Linked DNA regions of Pelodiscus sinensis. The protein of the gene in region 2 purifies or fractionates together with the protein of the main gene of each other region. This does not show direct contact. Links are inferred from orthologs where the notes say so. Each region holds a gene or a part of one and is shown on either strand. Other genes may lie near its edges.

The links.
Region 1: the proteins of CBX3 (region 2) and L3MBTL2 purify together in Homo sapiens (affinity purification with mass spectrometry; 5 studies listed by BioGRID and IntAct, with this or other methods). This does not show direct contact. The link is inferred for Pelodiscus sinensis from reciprocal best matches to the Homo sapiens genes CBX3 and L3MBTL2.
Region 3: the proteins of CBX3 (region 2) and ADNP2 purify together in Homo sapiens (affinity purification with mass spectrometry; 3 studies listed by BioGRID and IntAct, with this or other methods). This does not show direct contact. The link is inferred for Pelodiscus sinensis from reciprocal best matches to the Homo sapiens genes CBX3 and ADNP2.
Region 4: the proteins of CBX3 (region 2) and CCDC71L purify together in Homo sapiens (affinity purification with mass spectrometry; 3 studies listed by BioGRID and IntAct, with this or other methods). This does not show direct contact. The link is inferred for Pelodiscus sinensis from reciprocal best matches to the Homo sapiens genes CBX3 and CCDC71L.

The regions. Positions count from the first base shown.
Region 1 is NC_134711.1:89,383,025-89,390,369, reverse strand, and holds the start of L3MBTL2 (lethal(3)malignant brain tumor-like protein 2), read left to right. Parts: upstream 1-4,344; 5' UTR 4,345-4,426; coding exon 4,427-4,534; intron 4,535-7,345. UniProt on the Homo sapiens protein: Putative Polycomb group (PcG) protein. PcG proteins maintain the transcriptionally repressive state of genes, probably via a modification of chromatin, rendering it heritably changed in its expressibility.
Region 2 is NC_134712.1:197,287,312-197,295,005, forward strand, and holds the start of CBX3 (chromobox protein homolog 3), read right to left. Parts: upstream 3,011-7,694; coding exon 2,930-3,010; intron 2,871-2,929; exon of another isoform or gene 2,700-2,870; intron 1,337-2,699; exon of another isoform or gene 1,311-1,336; coding exon of another isoform or gene 1,287-1,310; intron 1-1,286. Other genes in the region: HNRNPA2B1 (heterogeneous nuclear ribonucleoproteins A2/B1), read left to right, coding at 4,789-4,863.
Region 3 is NC_134712.1:100,918,287-100,925,452, reverse strand, and holds the start of ADNP2 (activity-dependent neuroprotector homeobox protein 2), read right to left. Parts: upstream 3,010-7,166; 5' UTR 2,441-3,009; intron 317-2,440; 5' UTR 209-316; intron 1-208. UniProt on the Homo sapiens protein: May be involved in transcriptional regulation. May play a role in neuronal function; perhaps involved in protection of brain tissues from oxidative stress. May be involved in erythroid differentiation.
Region 4 is NC_134711.1:26,194,405-26,201,369, forward strand, and holds CCDC71L (coiled-coil domain-containing protein 71L), read right to left. Parts: upstream 2,250-6,965; 5' UTR 2,070-2,249; coding exon 1,362-2,069; 3' UTR 502-1,361; downstream 1-501.

The DNA.
Region 1 (7,345 bases), on a different chromosome or scaffold from region 2:
ACCTGAGATTATCATCGGACAAGTTTGTTCTCAAATTGTTCTTCACGTATTTCATTCTTGAAAATGTTTGTTCACACAGGTATGTTGTTCCAAAGATTGAAAGGTACCTTGATGCAAAAGTTTTGACATTAGGAAAGTCTTCCTTGGGCAAAAACTGGTAAAAACCCACCAGTCCTATTTTGAACTTGTCCCTAAGGAGGTCATTTGCTTGCAACTCAATGACTTCCAGCTGCAGTTCATCTGGGCAACTGGCCACATCTGCTTCAAATGGGTTTTGAAACAATCTCACTTCTTCTGCCTTTGAATCCAAAAAGGTCTCCACGGGCCGGATGAGAGGGCCTCGCGGGCCGCATCCGGCCCCCGGGCCGTAGTTTGGAGACCCCTGCTCTAAGCAATCAGCTGAACAAGAAGTAGGACTGCATGGACTTGGAGGTACTAAAGTTTTATATTGTTTTGTTTTTGAGCACAGTTATGTAACAAAAAAAATCTACATTTGTAAGTTGCACTTTCATGATAAATAGATTGCACTATGGTACTATCATCAGATTAATTGAAAAATATTTTTAGAGTGCATATATTTTTACTGTAACTACTAAAGTGAGCACTGTATACTTCATAGTCTATGTTGTTATTGAAATGTATATATTTGACAATGTAGAGAAATATCAAAATATTTCATTTCAATTAATATTCTATTTTTCAATATGATTAAAACTGTGATTGTGAATGATTTTTTTATTACAATTTTTTGTGTTAATTGTGTGAGATAACTGCAATTAATCAGCAGCCCTAAAAATTAAGTTATATAAAATAGCCAAAGTATAGTAGCAAGTGCTTACTGATGATTTATAAACCTAAACAACTGATCTACTTAAATTTAGAGTAGGTAATCAATTTCAATAAATCAATAGCTGTGTTCATATGAATTTCCCCACAATAACTGACAGATTAAAATTAGGGCAGAAGCTCCAATGGATAAAATTATCTAATCCCCCCTCCCAAACAAGGTATGAGTGTGCCTTTTAGAGTGATGTATTTCTACCCAGCTCCTATAACTCCAGAATGGCTCAGCTGAACTTGCTTTACTTTTTTAATCCAGGTTTGAGCTCAACCATGAAACTTTTCAATTCCAAACTGGAAAAAAAACAGAATATAAAACTGGTGGGGTGGGGTGGGTTGGGGGGAGAGTTTGAATACAGTGGCCTTGTATCAGAAGGGTCCTGAGGGACATGTGGGGCTCAGGGCAGAAGTAACAAATATTTTATTTCCAGGACCAATCTTGTCACTTTCAAGATTGGTTCTGGAAATAATTGTGCCGGCTTGCAGAACCCCCCGCTCTCTCCCAAGAACATGGCCGGGTGCAGTCACCCCGATTCACCCCAGGGATGGCTCTGCTTTATATGATGACATTCATCTTGCTTGGTCAAAGAGGGAGGGGCACTTTTTTAAATATATTTAATGAAAAATGAGGAGTGGGATATTCCTGCTGCTTGTGAAACAAATTGGACATTATATTTAGCTGAAAAATGCTGAAATTTTATTTTAGTCAGTACACAAATATTCTTTCATTTTAGATCCGCTTCTAATTCCAGATCAATGGGTAGAACAAAATTATGGTTCTGGTTCGGTTCCTGTTAAAATACCAGCTTGAATTTGTTCTTCCGTAAAACACCCCGGACAAAATAGATTATCTGAGCAGTTCAGATGCAATGTTAAGATCCCTAAGTGCTCTGTGGCAGTTTTAAAATGAGCAGCAGAGGGACAGAGAATGATTCTAAGTATCTAAACCAAGAGTGGGCAATAATTTTTGATGGGGGGGCGGGCGGGAGAACACTCCAAGATTTTGGTAAGTGATCAAGGACTGCACTTTTCTATGGAGGGGGTCTGGGATGAAGGTTAGGTGTGGAAGGGAGCTTGGATTAGGGGGTTGGGGTGCAGGACAGGTTGTGGGGTCAGAAAGGGAGTTTGGGTGAAGGAGGAGATTGTGACCTGGGGCAGGGTTTTGGGGTGTAGGGTCTGGGAGGAGGTATGGTTATGCAGGAGAGAATTCTGGCCTGGGGCAGGAATGTAGGAGGAGGTGCAGGGTCTGGGAAAGAGTTGTGACCTGGGGAAAGAGGGGAGAGGGAGTGCAGAGAGTTTGGATGGTGACCTGGGGCAGAGAATTCGGATGTTGGAGGGGCTGGGGTACCAGAGGCAGGCTGTGGCCGGGAGGCTCTTACCTAGGCCACTCCCAGCCAGCAGTTCTGCAGGACCCTGAGGCAGACTCCTGGGAAGGGTTGGGGTGAGGGCTCTGGCTGGAGGTGCGGGCTCCAGGTCTGACCAAATATCAGGGTTTGAAATGCAGGAGAGAGCTGGGACAGGTGTGCAGGAGGGAATGGGGACTCCAGCTAGTGGTGGGGGTTCTGGGTTGGGGCCAGAAATGAGGGGTTCAATGTTCAGGCAGGGATAGAGGGTCAGGGTGCAAGATAGGGTGAGGAGCTGGAGGTGCATGCTCTGGGGTGGGGCTATGGTTTGGGGTGCAGGAAGGGGCTGGGGAGGGAGTTCTTGGCAGTGTTCTCAGGTGGTCCAGGGAAGCTGCTGGCATCTCTCTCCAGCTCCTGCACTGAGACAGAACCACATGGTTCTGCATACTGTCCAAACCTGCAGGCAACACCCTCTCAGCTCTCATTGGCCATGGTTACTAGCCAATGGGAGCTGCTGAGCTGGCGCTGGAGGCAGTGCGTGGAGCCCCCTGAGCTATCCCTCCACCTAAGACCCAGAGGAAGCTGCCCGGCAACTCCTGGGAGCACCATGGAACCAGCTACAGAGCCTGCCTGCTCTGCCAACCAGACTTTTAATGCCCACCCATCAGCAGTGCTGACAGGAGCCACCAGAGTGGGTGTTCCAGTCAAAAACTGGACTCCTGGCAACCCCACCACAACAGACAGAGCCAGTCTTAGGGGTGGGTGAGCTGGGTGTTACCCAGGGCTGCCATTTTCAGGAAGACCACATTTTGGCCTGACCTCCCGAATGCCCCTGGTTACTCCCCGACCTCCCCCCCCCTTTTTTTTTCCTCAACAAATTTTTGTCTGGTATATTTTTTAAACCATCTGGCAACCCTATGGGCAAGCTGGGTGGTCGCCCAGGGCTGCCAATTGGTTAGGACCAGGACCGTGACAACAGACTGTACTCAAGCATATCACTAATATAAACTGCATTCCCCAAAGGAAAGTGCCTCAGAGCCCCATTGCAGAGAGGTTATGGAAGGAACCACAGCAAACCTCTCCCCTGCTGCTAAGAGAGCCATTAAGGCAGCAGTGCAAATACATTACAACATTGCTTTAGTTTAGATGGTCTAGGCCAGTGAGAAGAGTGATGGAAATGTAGCCGTGTTAGTCTGGTGTAGCTGAAACAAAAAACAGGACTATGTAGCACTTTAGAGACTAACAAGATGGTTTATTAGGTGATGAGCTAATAAGTGGGTCTGGCCCATGAAAGCTCATCACCTAATAAACCATCTTGTTAGTCTTTAAAGCGCAGCATAGTCCTGTTTTTTGTTTAGGCCAGTGAAGGCCAACTTTGCCTTGTGAGGGGCAGCATGACTGGCCCTCTTTTGTCTCAGGGGGCTACAGGATAGTTGTAACCAAGCCAGTCTCCCGGGACTGGGTCGTTTCACTAACTGCACTTGCACACGCAGCATTTGCAGGGCACCGATCGAACCGAAGCAGCAGGTTGATTGGCTGCAGAAGGAGCCGGGGGCTCTCAGTGTTGTGTGCACTCAGCATGCACCTCATTGCACGTGCCCCTCACTAGTAACACCCACAGGGGGGAACCAGCAGAATCCCAACTCCAGGGTGCAACGGCAAACAAAATGGCTCACGGGCCACACGCCCGCCCCGCTGGGCCACAGGCTGCTCCAGGCTGCGTAACGGGCCGAGGGGAAACCCGGCAAAGTAACACGCGGGGCGGGGCGGGGCGGGGCGGGCCCCCCTGCAGTGGCCGGGCCTGTGCCGGGAGAGCAGAGCCTGCCCGGGCGGAGCCATTTCCCGGCACCGATGCGCCCCGGGGCCCGGCGTCTCGCTGCTCCGACCGCCTCAAGGCGCGGAGGGCGGGGCGCGTGCCGCCACCCCGCCTGCGCGCGCACTGCCAGAGCTCCGCCCCCCCCCTCACGTGCACGGGGCTGTCGGGAGAATGACGCAGCCGGAAGGAGAGACCGTGCCCGGGCGGGGCAGTAACCTCTCCGGCCTCCCCGTGGCTTCCTTCCGCCAAGCTACCGGGCTTAGCGAACTACAACTCCCAGAACGCCCTGCGGCGGGAAGGCGCTCTCCCCCCCCCCCGTTTACTGTGTCTAAGCAACCTGTCGGGGGATTGGCCAGCAGGGACGGGCCAATAGGCTTTTCCGGTGCATGGGGGACAGTGAAGCTAACGCGCTCGTGGCTAGCGTGTGATGCCCGGCCGTGGGGCGGGGCCTGGTCGGGGAAGGCAGCACGTGTCCGGCGCAGCTGCTCTTAGCCGGGCGCGGGGAGCCATGGAGCTGGAGCCGGAGCCGGGCGAGGTGAGCGGCGGGGCAGAGAGATGCTGCGTCCCCGGGCCCTGCGCGCGCCCCGGCGCCCCCCTCTCGCCCCGCGGGACTCCGGGGGCCCAGCGCTGCAGCCCGGCGGCCCCTGTGAGACGCCCCCATCCAGCGCCTTGCCCAGGGATCCGCGTCGGCTTCCCGCTGCCCTGGCGCCAGGCTGTGGGCGGGGAAGCCCGCTCCGCCCAGGGGCTGGGCACGGAAGGATCCTTCGCAGCCGCTTTCCTGAATTCAGTTTGTAAAAGGGTCTGGGTCGCGGTGCGGCAATGGGCCCGGCTGGGGGTAGACCAGGCTCCTGGAGCGGTGGGACTGCACTCAGTGGCGCCTTCGCTGTCGGCTTTTTGGTTCTTCTACCCCATGGCCGTAGGTGTGAACGGTGCTCCTGACACTGCCTCTGGGGAAGAGTTCAGACTCGGTGGGAGCAGCCTGAAGCCCTGTGTTCCTTAATACAGTGTTTCTCAAACTGTGCTCAGCGGCTCCGTGAGGGTGACAAACTAGAAACATTGATAGGTACAAATCATATAATCAGGGGTCCGCTGGGGCGCTGCATACATTTTTACGCATGTAAAGTGCTCCAGAGCCCAAAAAGTTTGAGAACTGCTGCCTTAATACAGTAAAATTCCGATAATCTGGCACCTTTAGGACCCAGGGGGTGCTGGATTATCAGATTTGCCAGACTATCGGAAGGGGGGGCTATGAGGGGTCTGGGGTGGGGTGGGATGCCACCTCAGACCCCTCATAACCCCCCCTTCCGATAGTCCGGCTCTGCCCCAGGCGACCCCGATTCAGCCGCTGCTGGTCAGTTTCAGCAGCGGCTGAATCGGGGATGCCTGCAGCAGAGCAGCTGGACCTGTGGCGCGGCAAGACCAACCCGGCAGCACCCCAGCTGCTCTTGGGGATGCTTGGGGCAGAGCAGCTGGGGTGCTGCCGGGTTGGTCCCGCAGCCCTGCTCCTCGGCGCTACTGGACCAACCCGGCAGCACCCCAGCTGCTCTACCCCAGGTGTCCCCAAGTCAGCTGCTGCTGAAATTGATCAGCGGCTGACTCCAGGAAGCCGGAGGCAGAGTTACTCTGCCCCGGGCTTCCTGGAGTCAGCCACTGGTCAGTTTCAACAGCGGCTGAATCCAGATGCCTGGGACAGAGCAGCTGGGGCGCTGCTGGGTTGGTCTGGTAGCGCCAACCCGTGGCACTACCAGACCAACCCTGCAGCACCCCAGCTGCTCTGTCCCAGGTGTACCCAAGACAGCCGCTGCTGAAACTGATCAGCGGCTGACTCCAGGAAGCCGGAGGCAGAGTTACTCTGCCCCGGGCTTCCTGGAATCAGCCCCTGATCAGTTTCAGCAGCGGCTGAATCGGGGACAGCTGGGGTGCTGCCGGGTTGAGTCCTGCAGCTCTGAGGGGCAGCACTACGGGACCTAACCGGCAGCACTCCAGCTGCTCTGCCCCAGGCTTCTCCGATTCAGCCGCTGGTCAGTTTTAGCAGCAGCTGAATTGGGGAAGCTGGGGGCAGAGCAGCTCCAATGGTCCGGGTGCCTGGAGCACTTCCGGGTTCCTGATGGTGCCGGACCATCAGATGCCGGACCATCGGAGTTTTACTGTAGATCATTTTTACTCCAAGGCAGAATCTGTTTCTCTGTGTCCCAGCATGTATGTGATTGTTCTTATTTTGGGGAGGGAAGAATAGGGAAAGCAATGTAAAGTACAATGTTTGGAGGCTGAAGTTTTGCTCAGACCCTAAAACAGGGCTACTCCACTTTGGAAGCCTTGAGGGCCACAATGATACTCACAGCACATGTCGAGGGCTGCAACTTAAGTGTGGTTGCATATACATGCAAATATATGCAAATAGCTTCTTTCACACTGACTGGCACAAATACCAAGATTAAGCCTTAAGCTGCGGCACCGGACCCAAATGTGGCCAGTGTAAACCAGTCAGCACCTCTCAGGCTCTGCCCACAAGGCTAAGCAACCAGCACTTCCCACAATGCCCCGGTGCTCCCGGCACCTCCTCCTGACACCCTGTTCTCGTCTGTTCTAGCCAGCCCGTCTGCTTGCATCTTTCAGTGCTCATCCTGCCTGGGAGATGCCTTGCCATTGTGGAGCATGTTCCCAGTGGAGGCCATGTTCAAAGGATCCCACCCATGGGCCATGTGTTGAGCTCCACATAAACCCAAACCACACTATGGGCTGTAAACAAACGGACTGCAGCCCGTTTGTTGAATAGCTGTGCCCTAAAAGCGTATGCCACTAACTTACCACCTGAGAGCAGAAAAGGGCCAGTGACCATAAAAACAAGTGGTCCTGTGGCACCTTAGAGAATATATAGAATCATGAGCTTTTGGGGGCAAAACTTCATCAGATGAATTGGAGTGGAAATAACAGAAACCTATATAGATAAAAACACATCAGAAGTACCACCTGTCAGTTGTAGGACCTATGTTACTGAGGCTAATTAAATGGACTGGATGTCTCCCATACGTAGCTTTTGATGTGGAAATGCAGATGTTAATGACAGAAGAAATTGGCTTTGTAATGCACCAGCTAGTTAATGTCTTTGTTTAGAGTAAGGTAACAGGTGCCAAATGTATAGATGAATTCCAGTTTTGCAGACTTTCTCTGTAATTGGTTAGTGAAATTCCTTTGTAGAAGAATGGCTACTTTTAAATCCTTGATTGAGAGACATGACGGGTTTTATGTATGTTACCATTTCTGATTTCCAATTTGTGTCCATTTATCCTTTGTCGTAGAGACTGTCCAGTTTGGCCAATATACATTGCAGAGGGGCATTGCTGGT
Region 2 (7,694 bases):
ATACTAAATTCCAGTAAAAGTTTTTTTAGCTTGATAACTTGTTTGCAATGTTATTGCTTAAACCAGGACTACTCAACAGGCGGCCTGTTTGTTTGCGGCCCATGGGTGGGAGCCAAAACAAAAAAGTAGTCAATATAACGGTCTTCTATTGAAATGAGTTTTAGTAGTTAAATTCCTGGACTGTCGTTGATCATTAAAAGTACCCGATTTCCACGCATATGACAGCAAATATTGCTTTTTATTAATGTCAGCAGAACTGACTTAAACGGGGCCTGTGTGTTGTGTAGTCTTGCTTAATCTTTGTATTCATGCCTGTCAGTGTGAAAGAAACTATTTGCATATATATTTGTATGTATATGCAACCACACTTATTGCAGCCCTTGGCATGTTCTGTGAGTATCATTGTGGCTCCCAGGGTCTTCTAAAGTTGAGTAGCCCTGGGTTATATAGTTGCAGTCCAGTGAAAAATAACTAGGCAATTAACGGACAGGAGACAGGATACTAGTATTTGTGTGGATGTGGGATAAACTAGCTATACTAGTCAGTAAGTACTATTTGCCTATTATTTTTCTACTAGGTAAATAGAGCACAGACTTCCACACTGTTGTCCTTTACAAACATGTACTGCCACAGCTAAATGAATACTAAGCCAACTACTGTGGCATTTATGTGTCTTCAACTTCAGAGTTTTTTGGGCTCAATTTAACATCAAGAATTTTCATAGGAACTTGATACATGTCAAAGTCCTGTTACAATGGTCCAGATAGGGGAAACAATCTCTGCTCCTATGAAATCCAATTGAATCGTTATTTACTAACAGCTCTAACCACAATCCACACTATGCCCCATCATATTAGTATTAGGTAATTGCACTCGTAGTTGTAGCTGAGGAGCTAGGGAGAAGTTAAAACGAATATGCTTCCCCCCCCCCTTTTAAATATACAATGAATTACATGGGGTGCTGAAAGGAGGCTAAAAAATCACAAGTGTTTTCTGTAAAAGGTTATTAAACGTAATTTTCACTGAAAGTCAGAGAGCTGAACTGGAGCACAGGCCTCCATTAAAAAGAGAAGGGATTTTGTTTTGTTTGTAAGTCTTTCACTGGAAAACAGCAGTTTTATTTAAGCCAAAGTTAATGTCCTTTCTATTAGCCTTAGTTTCTGGATCTGAGATTTTAGTCAGAATAATGCTGGGGAGGAGAGATGTGGATGTATCTTCTACATGGAGATGCCAAGTTATAATTTTGAAGAAAAATCCTTATATATTTTAGGTGCTCATGAACTTACCAATGTAGTTTTATTGGAGGCCATTTTTATTGCAGACTTGCAGAGCTTTACTAGAAAAATGCATGACAATTAAAAGGAAATTTAAGTTACTCAGAAAAAGGCATCCCCATACAAGCATGGTCCTTGTTCCAACCCCCATGTGTTCACTGCACATAACATGTCAAGTGTGGATTAAATCCAGAAAAGATTACTGCTTTGTCCAGCAGAATGCACAAACACACCATAATGCTAGTCATGATCCTAGCTATTGATTGTGTATGATAGGTTGCAAGAAAGTCCTACCAGCATAAGGCAGAGATGTTTCAGAGAGAGGTGGGGAGAACCATTTCCTTAAACCCAAGAAGGAAAAGTGTTCAGTTTCAAGCAATTAACTAAGATATTTAACAGCATTTTCAAGATGCAAAAGTGAAATTTTAGTTAGCAACAAAGTATCTGTAGCATAATTCACTAGTGAGTTACCAGTAATCCTGACACAGCAGGAAATATAAACTGCAGAATATTAAAACTATAATGTTGCAAATGTATGGATCAGAAGGCAAGAGTTAAGGCTAATACAGATACAAACTGCAAAACTGTGTACACTGTATGCGAAGACTAAAATGCTTAATTAAGAAATATACATTGAATTAACCTATATAAATTACATAAAAACCACATGGTCTGAAGAAAACTCATCCTCTTTCCCATGCAGTTGCTTACACTAACCACCTCTTTGGGCATACATTTAGTCACCCATCCCTGCAAATCACAAAATGATCAAGGCAAAAAAAAGCCTATATGGAAGTCAGAGGAGGGCTTTGACTCAGCGATCCTGCCCAATTCTCACCCCCTTGCAGCCCGAGAGGTGGTACTGTAGCCAAGAAGTCCAGCGAAGGACAGGCAGAGGCTTGGGCCCTGCTGCTGGGCACTTCATCTAGGATTCATTGCGATTGGAGGGGGGAGGGGGAGAAGAGGAGGGAAACAAAGGCCCATAGCACAGGAATGAAGGGTATGGCTGCGCCACAGGCCTGTGATGGGCGCATACGAGGCCCGGGTGACCTAACGGGACTAGCTGAGCAAGGAGTAGGGCCAACCTGCACGCCAACGCAGAGGAGGAAACCCTGCGCCCCTGCCTCTAGTCGGCGGAGGGAACAGCCGGCGAGTCATGCGTGTTGCCTAAACCTACACTCCACCATTTCACACACCCGCTCTCAAAAAAGGACGAGGGCCCCTTCCCGGCGCCACGTTGCCCCCTCACCGAACACGACCATTGCGCTCCAAGAATAAGCTGGGCGGACAGTGGAAAAACCGCCCTCGGGGCTGGCGGCGTCGCTTTGTCCCCTGAACGCACCCCCCTCCGCCTCTCCCCAGGCTGCACCCAGCGTCTAAGCGCTGCGCTCCCCTCCCTGTTAGGGCCCAGAGCCTTCCTCCTACCTATGGGGGCAAAGCACCCACTAGAGATCCCGGAGCTCAGCTCCCTCTTCCCCCGCACCGCCGCTACCCGCCTTCAGTAGCCACCCTTCAGGTAAAGGCGGGCAGCGAGGGGAGGGGGAGGGGAGCTCCGCAATTACACCCAACACGAGCCCAGCTGCAAGGAATTTTGGGCGCTACCCAATTCCTGGCGAGATTAAATGGGAAACGAGAAGAGAGAGAAGGATACAGACTTCAATGGTGCCTGGCGGTGGCGGCGACTCGGGTTTCCCGTCTCCTCCTTGCTCCCTGCGCGCACTGAGCAGCAGCGACATCTGAGGGGGTGGGGGCAGAGGCTGGGGCGGCTGCTGCGGGGTGGGAGCGCTGAGCTGCGCGGTGGCTGGCGGCGGGGCACCGCGCACAACGCCGCCTACACGTTAGCTGCAGCCTCCTGCCGCCGCCACTGCTGCTGCCGTGTCGCTACCAGTGCAGGCGCGAGCGAGAGGGGGGCCAGCCAAGGCTTCTCTCCCAGAGAGCGGCTTGAAACACGGGGACGCGAGCTCGTCGAGCGCCTGGGCGAAGCAAGATGCCTCGCGGAGACCGAGAGAGCGACTGGGTGAGTGCCGGGGCCCAGCGGAGCGCGCCATAGCCGCCGGGCCAACGGCCAGCCCTGCCTGGGCGCGGCCCCGGGACGGGCCTAGAGGCCGAGCTGGCCGCGGAGAGCTCCCGCATCGGCTGAGGGGCTGGTGGGCTACGAAGGGGAACTTCGGGGGAGCGAGCGGAGGCCGGGGGGGGGGGAGCATTAGAGGGGCTTGGGGGCCGGGGCCCAGCGACCATGCGGCCACTTCCTCGAAGACGGGTGGTGGGAGACCGCGGCCATTTCCCCACTGAGCTCGGCGGGGGGAGGGGAGCTGCCGAAGCGCCATTTCCCCGGCGAACTGGGGCCGCCACTCACCCTGGGCTGCGGGGCCGCTGTGCGCGAAGCTGGCTACGGCGGGGTCCGCCTCGCTCGCGGGCCTGGCAGGCGGCGTCTCGCTGCTGGCGCCAAATCGGGCCACTTCCTCCCAGGCGTCCGGAGGCAAAGGGGCCGCCCCGCCAACAAAGGGGGTCTCAGGGCCGCGCACTCCTCGCGCTCCGGGTTTGGCCCCGTGGCCCTTGCCCACGCTCTGCCAGCACCACAGGTGGAGAAAGGGGGCCCCTTTGGCTAATTATAGTCCTTTTGCTGCTGTTGGGATCGGTCTCCGGGCGGCTCCGGCAATTTCCGGAAAAACCCGAAGCGGGAGCTTCGGCTCTATTCGGACGCGAGAGGCTTTCCCGCTTCTTTGTCGGAAACTACCGAAGAGACCTTCGTAGTCGAGGAAGCCTGTTTCGGCTCTTTCCGGAAACTGCCGAAGTGGATCGCGCTAGTTCGGGCTTTTCCGGGTCTTGCCGAAGTGGAGTTGGTCCACGACGACGCCTGCGTCGGTTCTTCTCGGAGACAGCCATTGCTAGCGGAGCTGTTGAGCTTTTTTACTACGTTACTAAAGCACAAAGGAGCGTTCCGCAGAACTGCGGGCGCTTCCGGGGAGCATTTAATTCCACTTGCGGTCCAAGCAGCCGGCGACAGTTAGAGGAAAGGGAGGGGCGGACGGACCATTGCCTGACGATGCATTTAAAAATACGTAACAAGGCAGCCATTACTAAAAAGGTTGGGTCGTATTCTCAAAAAGGGTTACGCCGGCCATGAGGTGGGTGGTACGCAAATAGCGCACGTCTCGGGTGTACAGTTGCGCAAGGTGCGTTTCGGCTCGCAAGAGTTAGTACTCTTGCGTCATGGCAGGCATATTCTTAAAACTGTTACGCTGTTAGCGCAGCGGGAGGCGTTCGAACTTCCCGTTCGCTAATACGCTTGGTGGCGCAGTGGGCGAGTCTTGGTGCTTTTCCGTAGTAGAGACGTTAGAGGGGAGGAAGGTTCTGGAAGCGCCGGCGGCAGTTGGGCTGGTGCGCAGCAGAGGGAGGCGGAGGCACACGCTGCGGCAACAGCGCACGCGGAGGCGAGCCCTAGATCCGCCTCACAGACGGTTTAACCGAGCTCCTGTCGCTCTAGCGAGCCGCGTGCGCTCTGGGGGTGACAATGGAGGGCAGTAAGCGAAGCGGGTCTATGTCCGGGCCTGGGAAGCGCCGGGATCAGTCCGGGGAGGCGCAGATGGTAATGGCGGTAATGAGGGGGAGGGGTAAAATGGCGGCGGGATGGCGGGGAATAGACCCCGGCTTGCCGGGAAAGGCCCGGAGAGCCCTGCTGCAGGGAAGCGCCGCCACGGAAGAGTAAGGGGTGGCGGGTATGAGGGAAGGGTGTGCGGAGCGGAGTAACTGTTACCTTGCGGGCAGCCTGTACGGAGCAGGAGGTGATGTAGGGGTGGGGGCACCGGGGTTCCCTGTCCAGCTTGGCTGGGAGCCGGCGGGGTAGCTGAGGGGGGGCTTTAGGCATCTAGTTTTTTTACGATCTTGCGAGCGAAGCCGACCCCTGTTCTTGCAGTAGCGCCAGGCAGAATTTTTCTCGGCGGCATCGCTCTCCCTAGGGTTGTTGCTTTTAGGCGCCATTTTCCTTCTCTCTCCAGTGGCGGGTGCCTCTGTCTCCCGGCATTGCCACATGGCGGGCTCCGCGCAGCTGCTGCTCTGACCCTGGAGATTGCAGGCCCTTGCCCCGTTGGGAGGGTGCTGAGGTGGACTTGCGGAGGCACCGCTACCGCTCCTCTTGAACAGACCCGTACGGGTAACAGTCGCGGGGAGCGGGGAATTTAAACCTCCTCCCCCCCCCCCGCCCCACACACACGCGCATGAACTTTTTGGCGGGCACGCAGTACTCGGATGCTGATCTGAAGCTCCTGCTCTTTTACCTCTTCCCGCCATTTTTGTTAAGGTCTTAAGCTGCAGTTTGCAGCAGGTTATGGCCATTCTTTGTCTATTTCTGTAGGTATTGTTCTGTAAAACACATTCCTTGTGGCTGGACTCTTGCCTTCTCAATAGAGGCTCAACATATCCCCATCCTTGCAGATTCGCTCATGCTGTGGGAGAAGTACATTCTTGAAAGCTTCAAAGCTCGTTTATACCGTATTTTTTATTATAACTTTGTACAAAAATAGACGTTCTCACCGAGATTATAAATGGAAGGTAGCTGGACATGCTTAAGTTGCCACAGGTAACATTTAGGCCTTGTTTTCACTACAAACATTAGGCTAGTGTAAAGTTCTCCTGCCCTGCCCCATGACATTGTGTAAGTTAGAAACACTCTTCTATCAGCAAAAGTTCCATCTATATGAGGATTTTGCCACTTAGTTGTTAGGTATATGTTTTTTTCCCCCTTTCATACATCGTTATGCTGCTGCAGACAATATAGTGTAGGCCTGGCCATATTGTAGTTTCCTATTTGGTAGGATGCTAGCCAAGGTTGTAACAGTACTTTTAAGGAAAGAGACTGTTCTCATTCAAATCTCAGTAGCAAAGTAATATCTCCTCTCCTCCCCAGTATAGATATGTTCTAGGTAACACATGTTAAAATCACAGTGTAGATAGTTTTAAACATCTCAGCAAGACTGTAAATAATAGGGGGGAGCTGGAAGTCTGAAAATGGAGTCCATGTTCCACCCAAGGCAGGGCATAGCATGGGATCATGTACAATACTGATTTACTCAAGTACATGCTATTTTTGATGCACCATGTGGTAATTTAAATATGAGACTCCAATGTCAAACTTCAGAATAGTTCTGTAGCTCTTGTGGCTGCAGCATGAAAGCTTCAGTGCTGAAATTAAGCTTGTCATGCTTACTACTCCCCGGCCCCCCAAGAAGTTCTGTGCACAAAATGTTCTCAAACTTTCTTAGCGTAACCAATGTAAGGTGTAGACACCCTAGTTCCCCCTACTGAGTTACCTCTTTTTCCTTCCTAGTCTCACTGGTTGTGTGGTGAAAAATGACAGTTTTGTATATATTTTTGTTTCCTTGGTAACTACAGTGTCTTGCAAGTGTCCTTCAGATCCGCAGAAGTTTCATGTCATATATTCTAATAGGTAAACGGTGTGGGTGAGGTACTGTTTTTGTTTGTATTGGACCAACTTTACTCTAACATGATTTACAGCAACACTGCTTATTCTAGTAGCTCTTGTTAACTTGGCTTATAATACTTTCTGAAGATGTGTTATGAATATATGTAGCTTATACCAAATGATAGTAGTGCCTTGATCCAAGTTTTCATTAGCAGTCCATTTCCCCAAACCCTGTCTCAGCTTTGCCCCACTCCAGCTAAGTTTGGAGTAATTTGTGAAAAATATTTATGCAAATATCTTGTAGCATTAATATAGTGGTCCAAATATTCCCATTGAGCAGGGGTTCTCAAATTTTATGGCACCACAACCCCCCCTCTGTGCAAGAACAATTGTTAGTTTGATGCCAGTATGGGGCTTGAAGTCTGAGTCAGACTAAACCCTGGGTTGGGCCGGGTGGGGGAGGAGACAAAGCCCAGGGGCTTCAGCAGGAGACTGAAGAGGCCTGTTGCCTTAAGTCCTGGGCTAAAGCTCCTCAAGCTTTGGTTGCATGCTCCAGAAAGACTAAGCAAGGACAGTTAACCCCATTAAAATGGGGCTCGTTCTTCCCATATCTTTCAGTTGGCTGTAACATTAGTGTGTGGGTGTTTTTTGTTTAGTTTTTAAATCCGAGTGGATTTTTGGAACTTATTTATGGGTTAGTACTTAATCATTCAATTTTTGATAAGACTGTGTGGTTGCTGCTTTAATCAGGCTTTGCAGATTGTCTTACAGCTGTGCAGTAATTAGAAATATGAAATTGAACAGTAAAAAAGGTATATAGGTTTGCATCGACAGTCTAGTGGCTGCAGAGCCTGAGAGAGGTAGCAGGATATGCAGCTATATCAAAACCAGGTTTGGTATTTTCTTAAATAGCTTCTTTTAGCTCTAAGGGTGCACCATTGAAATCTTGCTTCAGGCAAGATCAGGAGGCTTCTATTAGTCAGTGTGGTAATTAAACT
Region 3 (7,166 bases), about 96 Mb from region 2:
CAGCAAATTAAAGATTATTCTAAACTAATGGAAGACATTAAGAAATATGAGTAGAATTCAATGTAATGGAGATATCAAACTATGTAGTAATATAGTGATTAGAGGTCTATGACAACACAGACAGTGGATCTCTTATTGAGTAGTTCAACAGGACAGCAATCTGATTTTCAGCATCCTTACTTTTTGATAGTTGTATACTTAATCTTACCCATGTAGGTGATTTATCCTGCTTATATCCATGTATGCTCTTGAATCAGCTGTGATCTTCCCACAAGTCTAAGATCAAGCTTGCTGGATTTTTTAAAGAATATGTGACCTATAAGAAAAACATACCTTCTTCATAGATACTCAATATCTACCCTCCTCCCCCCACAAGAGCTATCCATTTATAAGATATAGACATAAATCTTATATAAGAATGGTCGTACTGGGTCAGACCAAAGGTCCACCTAGCCCAGCAGCCTGTCTACCGACAGAGGCCAGCACCAGGTGCCCCAGAGGGGGTGGACCGAAGACAATGATCAAGCGATTTGTCTTCTGCCATCCATCTCTAGCCTCTGGGACACCAAACAGAGGCCAGGGACACCATTTCTATCCCCTGGCTAATAGCCTTTTATGGACCTAACCTCCATGAAATTATCTAGCTTCTCTTAAAACTCTGTTATAGTCTTAGCCTTCACAGCCTCCTCTGGCAAGGAGTTCCACAGATTGACTATGCGCTGTGTAAAGAAGAACTTTCTTTTATTAGTTTTAAACCTGCTACCCATTAATTTCATTTGGTGTCCTCTAGTTCTTCTATTATGGGAACTAATAATATAACTTTTGTTTATTCACCCTCTCCACACCATTCATGATTTTATATACCTTTATCATATCCCCCCCTCAGTCTCCTCTTTTCTAAACTGAAAAGTTCCAGTCACTTTAGCCTCTCTTCATATGGGACCCGTTCCAAACCCTTAATCATTTTAGTTGCCCTTTTCTGAACCCTTTCCAAGGCCAAAATATCTTTTTTGAGGTGAGGCGACCACATCTGTACACAGTATTCAAGATGTGGGCATACCATAGTTTTATGAGCAGTAAGATATTCTGTGTCTTACTTTCTATCCCTTTCTTAATAATTCCTAACATCCTATTTGCCTTTTTGACCACCGCTGCACACTGTGTGGAAGTTTTCAGAGAACTATCCACAATAACTCCAAGATCTCTTTCCTAATTTGTTGTAGCCAAATTAGCCCCCATCATATTGTATGTATAGTTGGGGTTATTTTTTCCAATGTGCATTACTTTACACATATCCACATTAAATTTCATTTGCCGTTTTGTTGACCAATCACTCAGTTTGGTGAGATCTTTTTGAAGTTCTTCACAGTCTGCTTCTGTCTTGACTATCTTAAACAGTTTAGTATCATCCGTAAACTTTACCACCTCACTGCTTACCCCTTTCTCCAGATCATTTATGAATAAGTTGAACAGAATTGGTCCCAGGACTGACCCTTGGGGGACACCACTAGTTACCCCTCTCCATTCTGAAAATTTATCATTTATCGCTTCCCTTTGTTTCTTGTCTTTTAACCAGTTCTCAATCCATGAAATGACCTTCCCACTTATCCCATGAAGACAATTATCTTTGAAGACAATATTATAATTTCCTGCTGTCACAAGAGATTTTTTTAAATACAGTTGAAACATAGAATTTAAACTGTCATCACCTATATTGCTAACATTGGAAATGACTTCCAGAGGTTTGAAAGGAATCTTACCACATACTTGGATACTCTGACTACTGATTTCTAGCAATGAAGACTAAAGTCTTGTCTACAATACCTCTTAAGTCAATGTAAATTACATCATGAAAAACCCACACCTTCAGCAACCTAATTTACATTGACTTACAGTGGTTATCTACACCACACTACGTTGGTGGGACATGCTCTCCTGCTAACATAGTTCAACCTCTCCTTGAGGTGCATTAATTACATCAACAGGGAAAGCATGCCTCTGTCGATGTAATGCATCTTCATCACATGAGCTAAATGGATGCCACTACATTTATTTCTATATCACTGATATAGCACAGTAGTGAAGATGAGCCCTAAATCTCAGTGAAACCAAGAGAATGCCAACTACTTTCCACCAAAACAATTATTTTGCCAATCAACCTATTTTGCTATTTTATCCAGTTATCACATATTTGGGAGTAAAACTCAACCTAGCCTGATATACCAGCTCCATCTGTAACATCCAACCTGTACTGCCTTGATATGAAAACATCAGGAACCTCCAGGGGAAGAGACTCTTCATTCATACATCTATCTTGGCCCTCATATTTGCTCCAGATGAATACTGCTCAGAGGCTAGAGGTGCAGCCATCACACTCAGCTTGTCCATAGCTAAACTCAGCCATTTTTATTATTAGGGGCTAACTGAAGTATACACTAACCTCCAGTCTGGATGTGCTAGCACACACAGCTCTGCCAGACCTTCAATGAGATGTTTTTACTGTTAAAGTTGCTTGGAGGGCTGTGACAGATGGCACTAGCTGATTACATCTCTGGTTGACATATGCCATATTCTCTGGTAGGAAACAATGCACAGTACCAACACTTTAAGTTCTGCTTATATTTGGGTGAGGAGTTCCACTCTTGTGGACCAGGTGTGACAGCATGGCTGATCTTTTGACACTCCTTTGCCATGGTAGCTCACGTACTTTTGGCCCACTGTTATTGGTGACCAGCTCTCCCAGCAGCTGAAAACCATGTCTTTATAGAGAGGAAGCTTCAGTGGAAAAGACTGTGTAAAACACTAAGTAAACTGAAGAGTCTATCATTGTACTTGTCTTCTTTTTCATTTGATTGTAGATCTTGACAGCTTCATCTAGTCTTTGGCTTGGCTTGGTTTCCTCCTCATGGAACATAGTTGCAAACAATAACTGGTGGAGGAAGAGTACACAACCCACAGTAGTGGGGCAGTATACGATGACTAACATCTCTTGATATAGAGGACATCCTCTGTTTATGGAACCTGGACATTGAGCTCTGATACATGAGGAGACAACAGATAATGGCAAACAAAGGCAAGAAATATACAAACAAGAAGTTATAATTATGATATTCTATTAGAAATAAAAAACTTTCTGAACTGTATCACTTTCATCTTCAACCGGTTTACCAATGAATTAAAATGATAAGGGTTTTTCTTAACTATACCTAAATGGGAGAAATTATGGCCCCATTTAAGTCAATTGGAGTTCTACCATTGACTTCAGTGGGGCTGGACTTTCATTCAATGCAGCTATAAACAAACCATATACATATTTATCCAGTTGAACAAATCTTTTAAAATTTGTCAAAATCGAACATAAGTAGACAATATATTCATGTTAAAAAGTAAATACCAATAAAATATTCAGTTATTCATCAAAATTGTTATCAGACACTTTTATAAAAAATATGAAAAGGACATTTATGATTTTCATATTCAATGTTCCAATAAGTACACTATCACTTTATTTTTTGACTAATAATTTCTACCACATAGCAATTTTGGGTGATCATCTATTATGTATGTGTTCCATAATAGTGTTGAAATAAAAAGAGGTTTTATTTCAACATATAAAAGGGTACATATACACTTGAGGTATCGCGGAAAAACTCCGCCACATCCAAGGAACCTTTTTTCTTTCAGAAGAGCAAACTCACTCTTTCAGGGAGCCCTGTTTTCCTCGTTCTACGAGGGATAAGGGCTCCTCTGAAAGAGGAGGCTTTTCCGCCATTTGGTCCCATCTAGACTGGGCCATATGGTGGAAAAGCCTCTTTCAGAAAAACAATTGAAAAAAACTATGCAAATTGCGGAGTGCAATTTGCATAGCTTTTTCCAAAAAAAACCCCTATATTGTAGACCTAGCCAAAGAGACAAGCTAGCAGCAAAAGGAAAATATATTCTAATTGATAAAGTTATACCATATGCCACATAAGAAAGTCTGTTGTTATTGCCAAAACCAGAAAAGATTAAATGTCCTAATTGATTTATATTATATACTTACCATTAAATCACTGACAATAGTCTAATAATTAATAAGAGTAAAGTGTAAAACATAGTAGCTACTTAGAAACACAACATTTTCCAAAAGCACAACAATCAATCAATCAATCCCACAAAACTAATATTCATACCTTTTTGTTGTAACAAAGCATAATAAAACAAACAGCATCTGTTCTTTTTTCAAATAATAGTGTTCTTAAAATGAATTAGAAAAATTACAATTATGACATTATCTTAATGTCTTTTAAATTCACCTTTGAGCACTATAATTGAACTACTGAGTTTGTCTAACCTTCAGACAATATTTTATAATTATTGAATTAAAAATGGAACTATTTACCTAGAATCTAATTTAAATTATCTATAAAATAGGTACATCTTTTATATCATTGTAGTGTGTTTGTCTTTTTGTGAAGAATCATACCGTGTCTAAGCACCTTCAAGTCCCATTTAAGATGGTAGGAGTTAGCACTCATTATCTTTCAGGAAGAGCTTAGCATAGCACCTTGTAGAATCAGCACTAAAACTTGAATTCTATAAAGATGTAAGCATGTCCTTAAATTCATATACTTTGAGTAATCCAATTGATTTTGAGCTCATGCTTAAGACTTTGAAGGATTGTGGCCTAAGTCTATGTGCCTTTTTCTGTGCCCCTGCTCTAAAATTAATTTGTCCTTGAAATATAGAAGAGCAGTGTGCAAAACTAAATAAAAACAATAACAAGGAAGAGTAAAAGCAAATAGAATGTTAGGAGTCATTAAAAAAGGGTTAGAGAATGAGACAGAAAATATCTCATTGCCTCTATATACAACTATGGTACGTCCACATCACATCTTGAATACTGCGTACAGATGTGGTCGCCTCATCTCAAAAAAGATATATTGGCATTGGAAAAAGTTCAGAAAAGGGCAACAGAAATTATTAGTGGTTTGGAATGGGTCCCATATGAAGAGATTAAAAAGAATTGGACTTTATAGCTTAGAAAAGGGGAGACTAAGGGGGGATATGATAGAGGTCTATAAAATCCTGACTGATATGGAAAAAGTGAATAAGAAAAAGTTATTTACTTATTCCCACAATATAAGAACTAGGGGTCACCAAATGAAATTAATAGGCAGCAGGTTTAAAACAAATAAAAGGAAATTTTTCTTCACTCAGCGCATAGTCAACCTGTGGAACTCCTTGCCAGAGGATGCGGTGAAGGCAAGAAATTTAACAGGGTTCAAAAAAGAGCTAGATAGATTCATGGAGGTTAGGTCCATCAAATGGCTATTAGCCAGGATGGTTAGGAATGTTGTCCTTAGCCTTTGTTTCTCTGGAGGTGAGTGACAGGGAAGGGATCACATGAGGATTACCTGTTGTGATCCCTCCCTCTGGGGCATCTGGTATTGGTCACTGTCAGCAGATAGGATACTGGGCTAGATGGACCTTTGGTCTAATCCAATATGGCAGTTCTTATGAGCAAAAGCAGAGGATAAGAAGAAGGGAGAAGTGATTTACTTATGAGGTTATTTTCCCACAGATCATTAGTGATGTCACACTTATCCCCTCTCAAAAGTAAATTTTCTTTAGGACAGCAGCATAGGAGGGAGTAAGAGGAGAAGTTGCAGATGAGACATAGAATAGGAAGGTTACAACTTTATCTACTATGGATTTTTCATAGATGAGAACTATTGTTTTGATCTGAATGAAATTGAGTAAGAACTATTTTTCTTTACTAATGAAGGACCATCTACTTTTATAATAACTGATGGTAACAACAAAGGTTTATTTTACACCAATTTGCAGGCATCTTTTATTCCTGCTGAATATGGGCCAGATTCTCAGTCCCATTCTGTCCTTTTTGCACTACATGAGCAGTACAAAGGGAACATAATTTGGCCACAAGTTGTCCAGTAAAGAATTATCTTGGTAGAAGGGAAATTGTCAGTTGGCTGTAAAGCTAGCACAACCATCCTTACACATACCTTCCCAGTTGTGGCATAGGGTTTGTTGGAAGGAGGAAGCATGTTGGAGTACAGCGAAGCTCCACTCTTCTATAGGAATTCCCAGGTAGCATGTGCTTCCTTATGGATGATAGCCAGCGGTTGTAACAATACTCAGTTGCTGACATCTGGATTTGTGCTTCTTGTGGATTTAACAAAACAGCACATTGCTGACAGTTTTTGAGACTAGCTGGGATGTCAGTTATATTTTCTTCTTCTTTCTGGAAACAGTCCTCTCAGCCAGAAAGTATATTTTGAAAGCCTGATTTACTCCCAAAATGTCAAGTATTCATCATTTCTGTGATCACTCAGATCAGGAGTAAAAGTAACATAAGTCTTTCAGGACTGCAGATTTCTCTTTTCAGTTTCTAACTAAGCTTAGGAAAATCTATTTTTTTAAAAAACTGTATCCTTTGCAGTCAGCATTCAAAATCCTCATCTTTTTTCATCCAAATGGAAACTGTCCATTTTTCCATACATGCTGTTTTTACATTTCTTTTTCTTCCGCTGAGACCAGAGAGCTCTTTGTAATTGCTGCTACACAGATCGCTTTGCTATTTCATATTGGACCCCATCAAAGAAATCCACTGGGATTTTCTGGTCCCGAAAGCCAATCAACCAAATATGCCTTTTAAATCATCTACATTGAGTTTAATTGAGTCAGAGCAACAGCCACAGACACAAGAAACATAAATTAACACCAAAAATGAGTCAAGTTAGCACAGTGAGAGGGGTCTTCTCCACAAGCTCTGTCCATCCCCATGTCATTCTTGGTTTCAATCTCCAACCCAGATCCACCCACAACTGCTTCCAACTGCCAAGTGCTTAGAACAATTCCAGTCCTTAATGTTCCAGGCCTCAAAGGTGCTTTAACCACACATCTTAAAGTACCACACAACCCACAGAGAACTAGCACATACTTAAAAAAATAATTGGCCACTTCTTTCGCTAATATAAATCATTTTAGTTCTGTTCAGTAGAACTGTATCAATTTAAGCCAGTGGAAGTTCTGACCCACTGTATATTATTTAATTAAACAGTAAACAGTAAAGAATTTTTTTTCACTCTTAGCAATACCTGTACATTTATGTCATACATTTGTTAATGTTTTATGTCTTTTTTGAAGTTTCTAGAACCCCT
Region 4 (6,965 bases), on a different chromosome or scaffold from region 2:
CTTGAAAGTGGGCATTTGTACAACACAAGACAGCCAACACACAAAGCTTCAGTCAAAACAAGCTATAAACTAACAATCTCTGAGTCCAGTGCATACCATATTTTAGCTGCAGCAGATTTAAAACAATACTCAAAGGAATTAATATGAACATCCACCACTAGACACTGAAGTGACAGCCTGTGCTATTTTAACTAAGAAGGCACTAGCTACCACACTATTGTTACTTCTATTAACAAGGCACTTACATAAATCTAAAATTCTGATATTTGATCACTTTAACTAATTACTAGCTAGCATTATATTGCTTGCCTTCTAGTAATCAGTTTTTTTCCTAAACACATAATTTCAAATAAATATTCCTCAGCTTAGGTAACTTTGGGGTTTACTAGAGAAGTAAATATGCCAAACAATTTGCTTGTTTCATTGAATTCCAGATGGTGTATTTAACTATCCAACAAGCTATCCATCCCTTTGCGGTTAGTTTCAATGTACTGAAACAGCATTAGTTGCTCTTTCACTTTTATTAAATTCACTTACATTGACCAAATAAGTGTCATTGAAGTAGACAGTTATATAAAATAAGAGTGATTCAACTGGCTTCTGATGCTCCATAAAAATGAATACTTAATTCAGCTATAAAACTTTAGAAATGATTTTAGATACAAAAAAATATGCTACACAGTACACCCTTTTATAGATCACCAAGGAAACTTTTGCACCATTGAGACAGCCATTAGTTCTGAACCTTTTTGTTTTTTTGCATCCTTGGTCAAAGCTTCAGTCAGTTGAAATTGGGAACACTTGGGATTCAAGATACCCTGAGCACATACTAGTGCAACATCACAAAAACATACATAATCCAATGTATTAGGGAGGAAAAAAGGAAACAAGAGTCAGATGGTGCTTTATTATACAAGCATGATAGCAAGTTCCTTTGGAAAATAACTTCTTGGGTGGACTTCCAGACCAGTGAGGTAGTCCCATGGGAGAAAGTGGAAGGAAGGAAATAGACCTTGGTCCCTACTTGAGATGCCTGCCAAACAGTTCTCAGACTGAAATATAACGGGTAAGGATCCTGGCCCTACTAAGAAACACAAACAGAAGAGCCTCAGTCCAGGTGAGGGTGGTAGCCACACTGGTGTTGGGGGCCAACCAGGTTCTCAGTCCAGGATGGAGTGGGCAGGGACATGGCTCTCTGGAGGAAAAGGGTCCCATCAGTCTGAGCCATAAAGTGCAGTAGAAGGACAAGATCCAGACAAAAGCAATGTAAACAGGTGACTGACAATTGTTTCTGCTTGCTCCTCCCAAGAGGAAAACGAGCCTCCCCTCCAGATACCCCAGTTTCCAGGCGGGGCAGCGTCTCACGATCTGGCTACGGGGAAGCGGCGCATCCTCACTACGGGCGCCAGGTCCACTCGGAGGATCCGCTGCGCCTCGCGCCGCGCCGCCTCCAAGCTCCGCGGCTTCCAGACGCTGCCCCGCACCTTGATGGTGGGGAAGGTGGTGAGACTGGGGGTGGCCGCTTTCCAGATCTCCTCCAGGGACTGGCCCCCCAGGGGAGCCCACGCGGGCACCTCGGCCGGGCCGGCCTGCTCCTCCTCCTCCTCCTCCTCCCGGGGCCGCTGCGCTTCGCTGCCCTGGGGACCGGCGGGCACGGGCAGGGCTGGGGCGCGTTTCCTCCCCTTCCTGGCGCGGCCGGGCGCTCTGCGCTTGGCGGGCAGGGGGCGCCGCCGGGCCGCTCCGCGGCGGGGCCGTTTTGCCGGCGCCGGGGGCAGCTCGGGCACCACGGCCCGGCAGGAGGCGTAGCCGTACACGTCCTTGCTGCGCAGGATGACCGGGGAGAACTGGTGCTTGAGGCTGCACAGGAAGTTCCACAGCTCCGAGTCCGAGCTCATGAACTCGGTGGAGCGGGGCATGAAGAGCTTGAAGGCGTCGCCCAGCGCCTTGGTGCCGGCGAAGGACACCTGCGAGCGGGAGTAGACAACTTTCTCCGCCTCGCCCTCCGCGCCCCACGCCGCAGCCGCGCCGAGCCCGGCAGCGGCTCCCCGGCCGGCTCCCTCCTGCTTCATCTTCCCGAGTCTCGCCGCAGCGCCGCCTGCCTCCGACTGCGGAGCGCAGAGCGAGGGCTGGCCTCAGCGCGAGCCCCACCACGCCGCTCGCTCGCCTGTCTCCTGCCGCCGCGACCGCCGGCCCCTGCCGCCTGGCGCTCCTTTGCCTGTCTCTCCTCCCAGGGCGGAGAGCGGCGATCAATATCCTGCCGCCCCGCCCCGCAGGCGCAAACGGCCGCTTAGCCGTTACTGAGCGTGCGCGGGCTCAATAGCTGCTGTTGAAGCCGCTCAGTGCCCTTACTCTGCCCTTACGTGTGGGGGAGGGGAGAGTTAGAGAGCGCGGCGGCGAGGGTGGGGGAGAGCAGAGGGGAGTAAACTGAGTCCCCGGGCAGAGCAAACAGCTGGAGGCAGGGAACGGCGAGGGCGGGAGCCTGCCTCTGGGAGAGGCGCTGCAAGGCTGTGGCAGGGAGAGGGGGAGTAAGGGGATAAGTGCGACCACAGAAGGGGTGAGCAGCTGTTTGGAGAGATGGGGGGCAGGTCTCTGCACCCCCCTTACAGTGCTGTGGCCCTCCAGACACATGCAGGGAGGCCACCCATCCAGCTCTGTCTTTTTGGCTGGTTTGTCACCTATCCTGTATTGGGACAAGACAACGTCCAGTTCTGCCTGGTATCGGACAGGGCAGACTACACTGCTCTGTTCCCGCCATCACAGCCTCATGTGCTGCCTGCCAGGGCACGGCAGCGCAGCACGCTTCTGCAGACTTTGCCCCTCATGCAGCATGATTTTGCACTCACCATCCATGTGAGATCAGCCAGCGAGGGCAGGGCAGCTCGCTCTTGAAAATGGTGTCCCCCTGTGTGGTATGACCTCACACACAATGCATGCGAGATCATGCCAGTGAGGATGGAGCAACTCGCTTTGAAAATGGTGTCCCCAGTGCAGTATGATTTTGTCATGCTGGCAAGGGTGGAGTCACAGGTAGATCAGGCTCATGCTGTTTCAGGAAGTGCTAAAATGTCCTTTATTCCACTAACATAGAATCATAGGGTTGGAAAAGACCTCAGGAGCTTATCGAGTCCAACCCCCTGGTAAAAGCAGGACCAATCTCAACTAAATTATCCCGGCCAGAGTTTTGTGAAGCTGGGACTCAAAATCCTCTAAAGATGGAGATTCCAGTGCTTCACCACCCTCCTAGTGAAATAGTGTTTCTAAATTGAGACCATTGCTCCTTGTTTTGTCATTTGTCACACCTAAGAACAGCCTCTTTCATCCTCTTTGGAACCCCCCTTCAGGTAGTTAAAGGCTACTATCAAATCCCTCCTTACTCTTCTCTTCAGTAGACTAAATAAGCCCAATTCCCTCAGCCTCTCTTCATACGTCATGTGTTCCAGCCCCCTAATAATTTTCATTGCCCTCCACTGGGCCCTCTTTAATGCATCCACATTCTTTCTGTAGTGGAGGGCCCAGAACTGGACGCTGTACTCCAGATGTGACCTAACCAGTGCCGAATAAAGGGGAATAATCACTTCTCTAGATCTGTTGGCAATGGTTGTATGGGTTGAACTTCTGGGGTCTAGGACTCTCTGGTTCAGCAACATCCATGGTCTGAAAGGACCACAGATGTTGCGGGACTGGAGAGCCCCAGCAGCAGAGGTTGCTGGCAGTTCAGAGTGGAGCCATCTGGCAGGGGCAGCAGAGCCAGCGGGGAGCAGAGCCTGCAGCCGGCGGGGCAGGGAAGCCAACAAGGGAGCAGGAGGTCATGTGGCAGTGCAGCCCACAGCTAGCAGGGGCACCAGGAGCTTGTGTGGGACAGCGAGACTGCCATGATGTCAGCAGGGCTGCTGAGAGTTCTAGTAAGGCTGCCAGAATTCCAGTGGGACTGCCTCAGTTTGACAGGCCAGGAGCTCAGGCAGGGTTGCTGCATCTTGCAGGGCCAGGAAGCTGGGGAGAGGAGTCCTGGTGGAAAACTCCCTTGTCTGGGACGGGCGAGGTTCCAAGAATGCCAGAACAGGGAAAACAAACCTGTACTAATGCACCCCAACATGCCGTTAGCCTTCCTGGCTACAAGGTTAGTGGCCACTTTATACACCAGGGCTATGTCTACACTGGCGCAATCTTGTGCCAGAAGTATGCAAATGAGGCTAAGCATGGAATATCGCTGAGCCTCATTTGCATATCTAATGAGCCACCATTTTTGCGGAAGAGGTTCTTGCGCCAGAAGGAGCTGTCTACACTGCCCCTTCTTGCGCAAGAAAAACCCTCTTGCACAATGCCATTATGCTGATTATTTTCAGGAATAACGGCATTCCAAGGTGGAAATGTTGGGTTAAAATTAGAGGATTAGAATCAACTAGAGGAGTGGAGACCAATGAGCAAACTGGCCCAGTAACACAGAGATATAAAACAACACAGGAAGGAGATGTAGGAGAGAGAGACAAACTGGCAGGGCCAGAACCAGGAAAGATCTCTGGGTAGAGATCTCTTCTCTTGCCTCTCCTTTGCACAGCACTTAGAAGAAAATGAAACTGTAAAAAATATGGTGCATGGATCAGTAGAGTAGCAGGAAGAGAAAATGTAAATAAAACTGCACTGTGGTGTTTAACAACTAACAGTCTCTGAGTCTGTGTAGACAGAGTGGAAGACGGTAGCAAGATGTTCCCTACCACAGACCTGTTATATTGCCGTTATTCCTGAAAATAATCAGCATAATGGCATTGCGCAAGAGGGTTTTTCTTGCGCAAGAAGGGGCAGTGTAGACAGCTCCTTCTGGCGCAAGAGCCTCTTCCGCAAAAATGGCGGCTCATTAGATATGCAAATGAGGCTCGGCAATATTCCACGCTTAGCCTCATTTGCATACTTCTGGCGCAACAATTTGCCAGTGTAGACATATCATTTAGCTAGGCATTGGGACACCTGGGCTGTCTTGAGCTGCCAAAGGAGACCTGATTCAGTTAACTATTTTACTTGCATAATTCCTAAATAATTGTAATTTTCATATTTTTAGTGTTTAAAAGAATCCTTTATGTAAGTCTGCATAAAGCCTCATGCAGTAATTTACAGATTTATCTTATGTGCTATTGTGATTGCCCTTACTTGTAATCTCCTATAATATAGTTTCATTTCTTTTAATTATTTACTTTTTAAAATTGTATTTTTATTATTCTTAATACTTCATCATTTATCTTGTTATCATTGTGCACATGAGTGTCATTGTGCTCTTGATATTTTTCATGACAAATTATCATTGGAAATAACAGTTGCTTGCTGCGTCAGTGATCACATTTCGCAATGTTTGCAATATAACAGGTCTGTGGTGGGGAACATCTTGCTACCGTCTTCCGCTCTGTCTACACAGACTCAGAGACTGTTAGTTGTTAAACACCACAGTGCAGTTTTATTTACATTTTCTCTTCCTGCTACTCTACTGATCCATGCACCATATTTTTTACAGTTTCATTTTCTTCTAAGTGCTGTGCAAAGGAGAGGCAAGAGAAGAGATCTCTACCCAGAGATCTTTCCTGGTTCTGGCCCTGCCAGTTTGTCTCCCTCTCCTACATCTCCTTCCCGTGTTGTTTTATATCTCTGTGTTACTGGGCCAGTTTGCTCATTGGTCTCCACTCCTCTAGTTGATTCTAATCCTCTAATTTTAACCCAACATTTCCACCTTGGGAGAATTAAAGGCTCAAATGTTGGTTCCCAGCACCCACTTTCGAGGACTTCAATAAGTGTTGGCTCTGTCACAACTTCATATGTTTTCATTGTGATTTTGTAATGTGTAGCTTGCATCATGCAATCTTCTGGATTTCCACTTGGAAATTGATGTAGAAAGAGCAAAGGGACAGCCTCCTGGTTCACAGCAATTCTTCCCAGCCCAATTTTGTGTTATAGAGTCTGAGGGAGAAGTCTTGCCAAGTAATCATCAAGAACAAAAAACCACACACCACCCTGATTATCACAGCAGCCCTTCTATCCCACTTCACCCTCTGAGCCAAAGCCCTAAAAAGTAGTTGTACACCCCCTTTGCAACTCCCATCTCCCAAAGTATTTCCTTTGCTAAAAGCATCACAATACCACTTGTCTTCAGCTCACTCCAAAATATAACACAAAAATTTCCAAACCACAAGTCAAATGTTCATGTGTCCCTCACTTTTCAGATTGCATTTAGAATCCCCTCTACAGGGTTTTCAAGATACAGAAAAATACACTTTCTTGTGTGTATTTAAAGAGAAGGATTTACATAGGAACTTCAAGGAGGAAAGGATCCCCAGAGAAAGAACAAAAGACTCAAAAGTAGAACCCAGATGAAAAGAACAAAGAAGAAGTGGTACAAATAGATATAATACTAGATTAAAATCATGCTCACGTATTTATGTAATATCAATTGAAATCCCTTCCTCCTATGGGCTTTTTGATTACCAAGAAAAATGTATTGCAATGCTGTGAATCAATTATTCAGTTCACTGATGTGTTTAAGATATTGATGTATTCATAATATTTACATAATTAATTTTGTATTCTAGGATAGCAGATTGGTTAAGAAGGCCTAAAACAAAGACTAGGTCCTCTAGTTTGTTGAGATTTATGTGACCCACCAGCTTAATATGGTTCACAGCATCATTTCCAACTGTGTGGTACTCATAATGCTTTCCAGCATTATAATACCATTTTCTCAGATATCCATTTCTTTCTCAGTCTGTGACTTTCCATGACTTAGACACTGGGCCTAATAAAATACATTGGATATATATTGAAGAGTCACTGGAATGAAAACAAGTAGACCTTTTTGTGGCGAGTGTCTCTGAGAATCTTTAATCTATGTGGGGACCATTTACAATCTGGATTTTGTTTAAAAAAATATGAAGTTCAAATGTCTCTCTGAAATACACAGGAAAAAATCTTCTTAGGGAAACATTTTG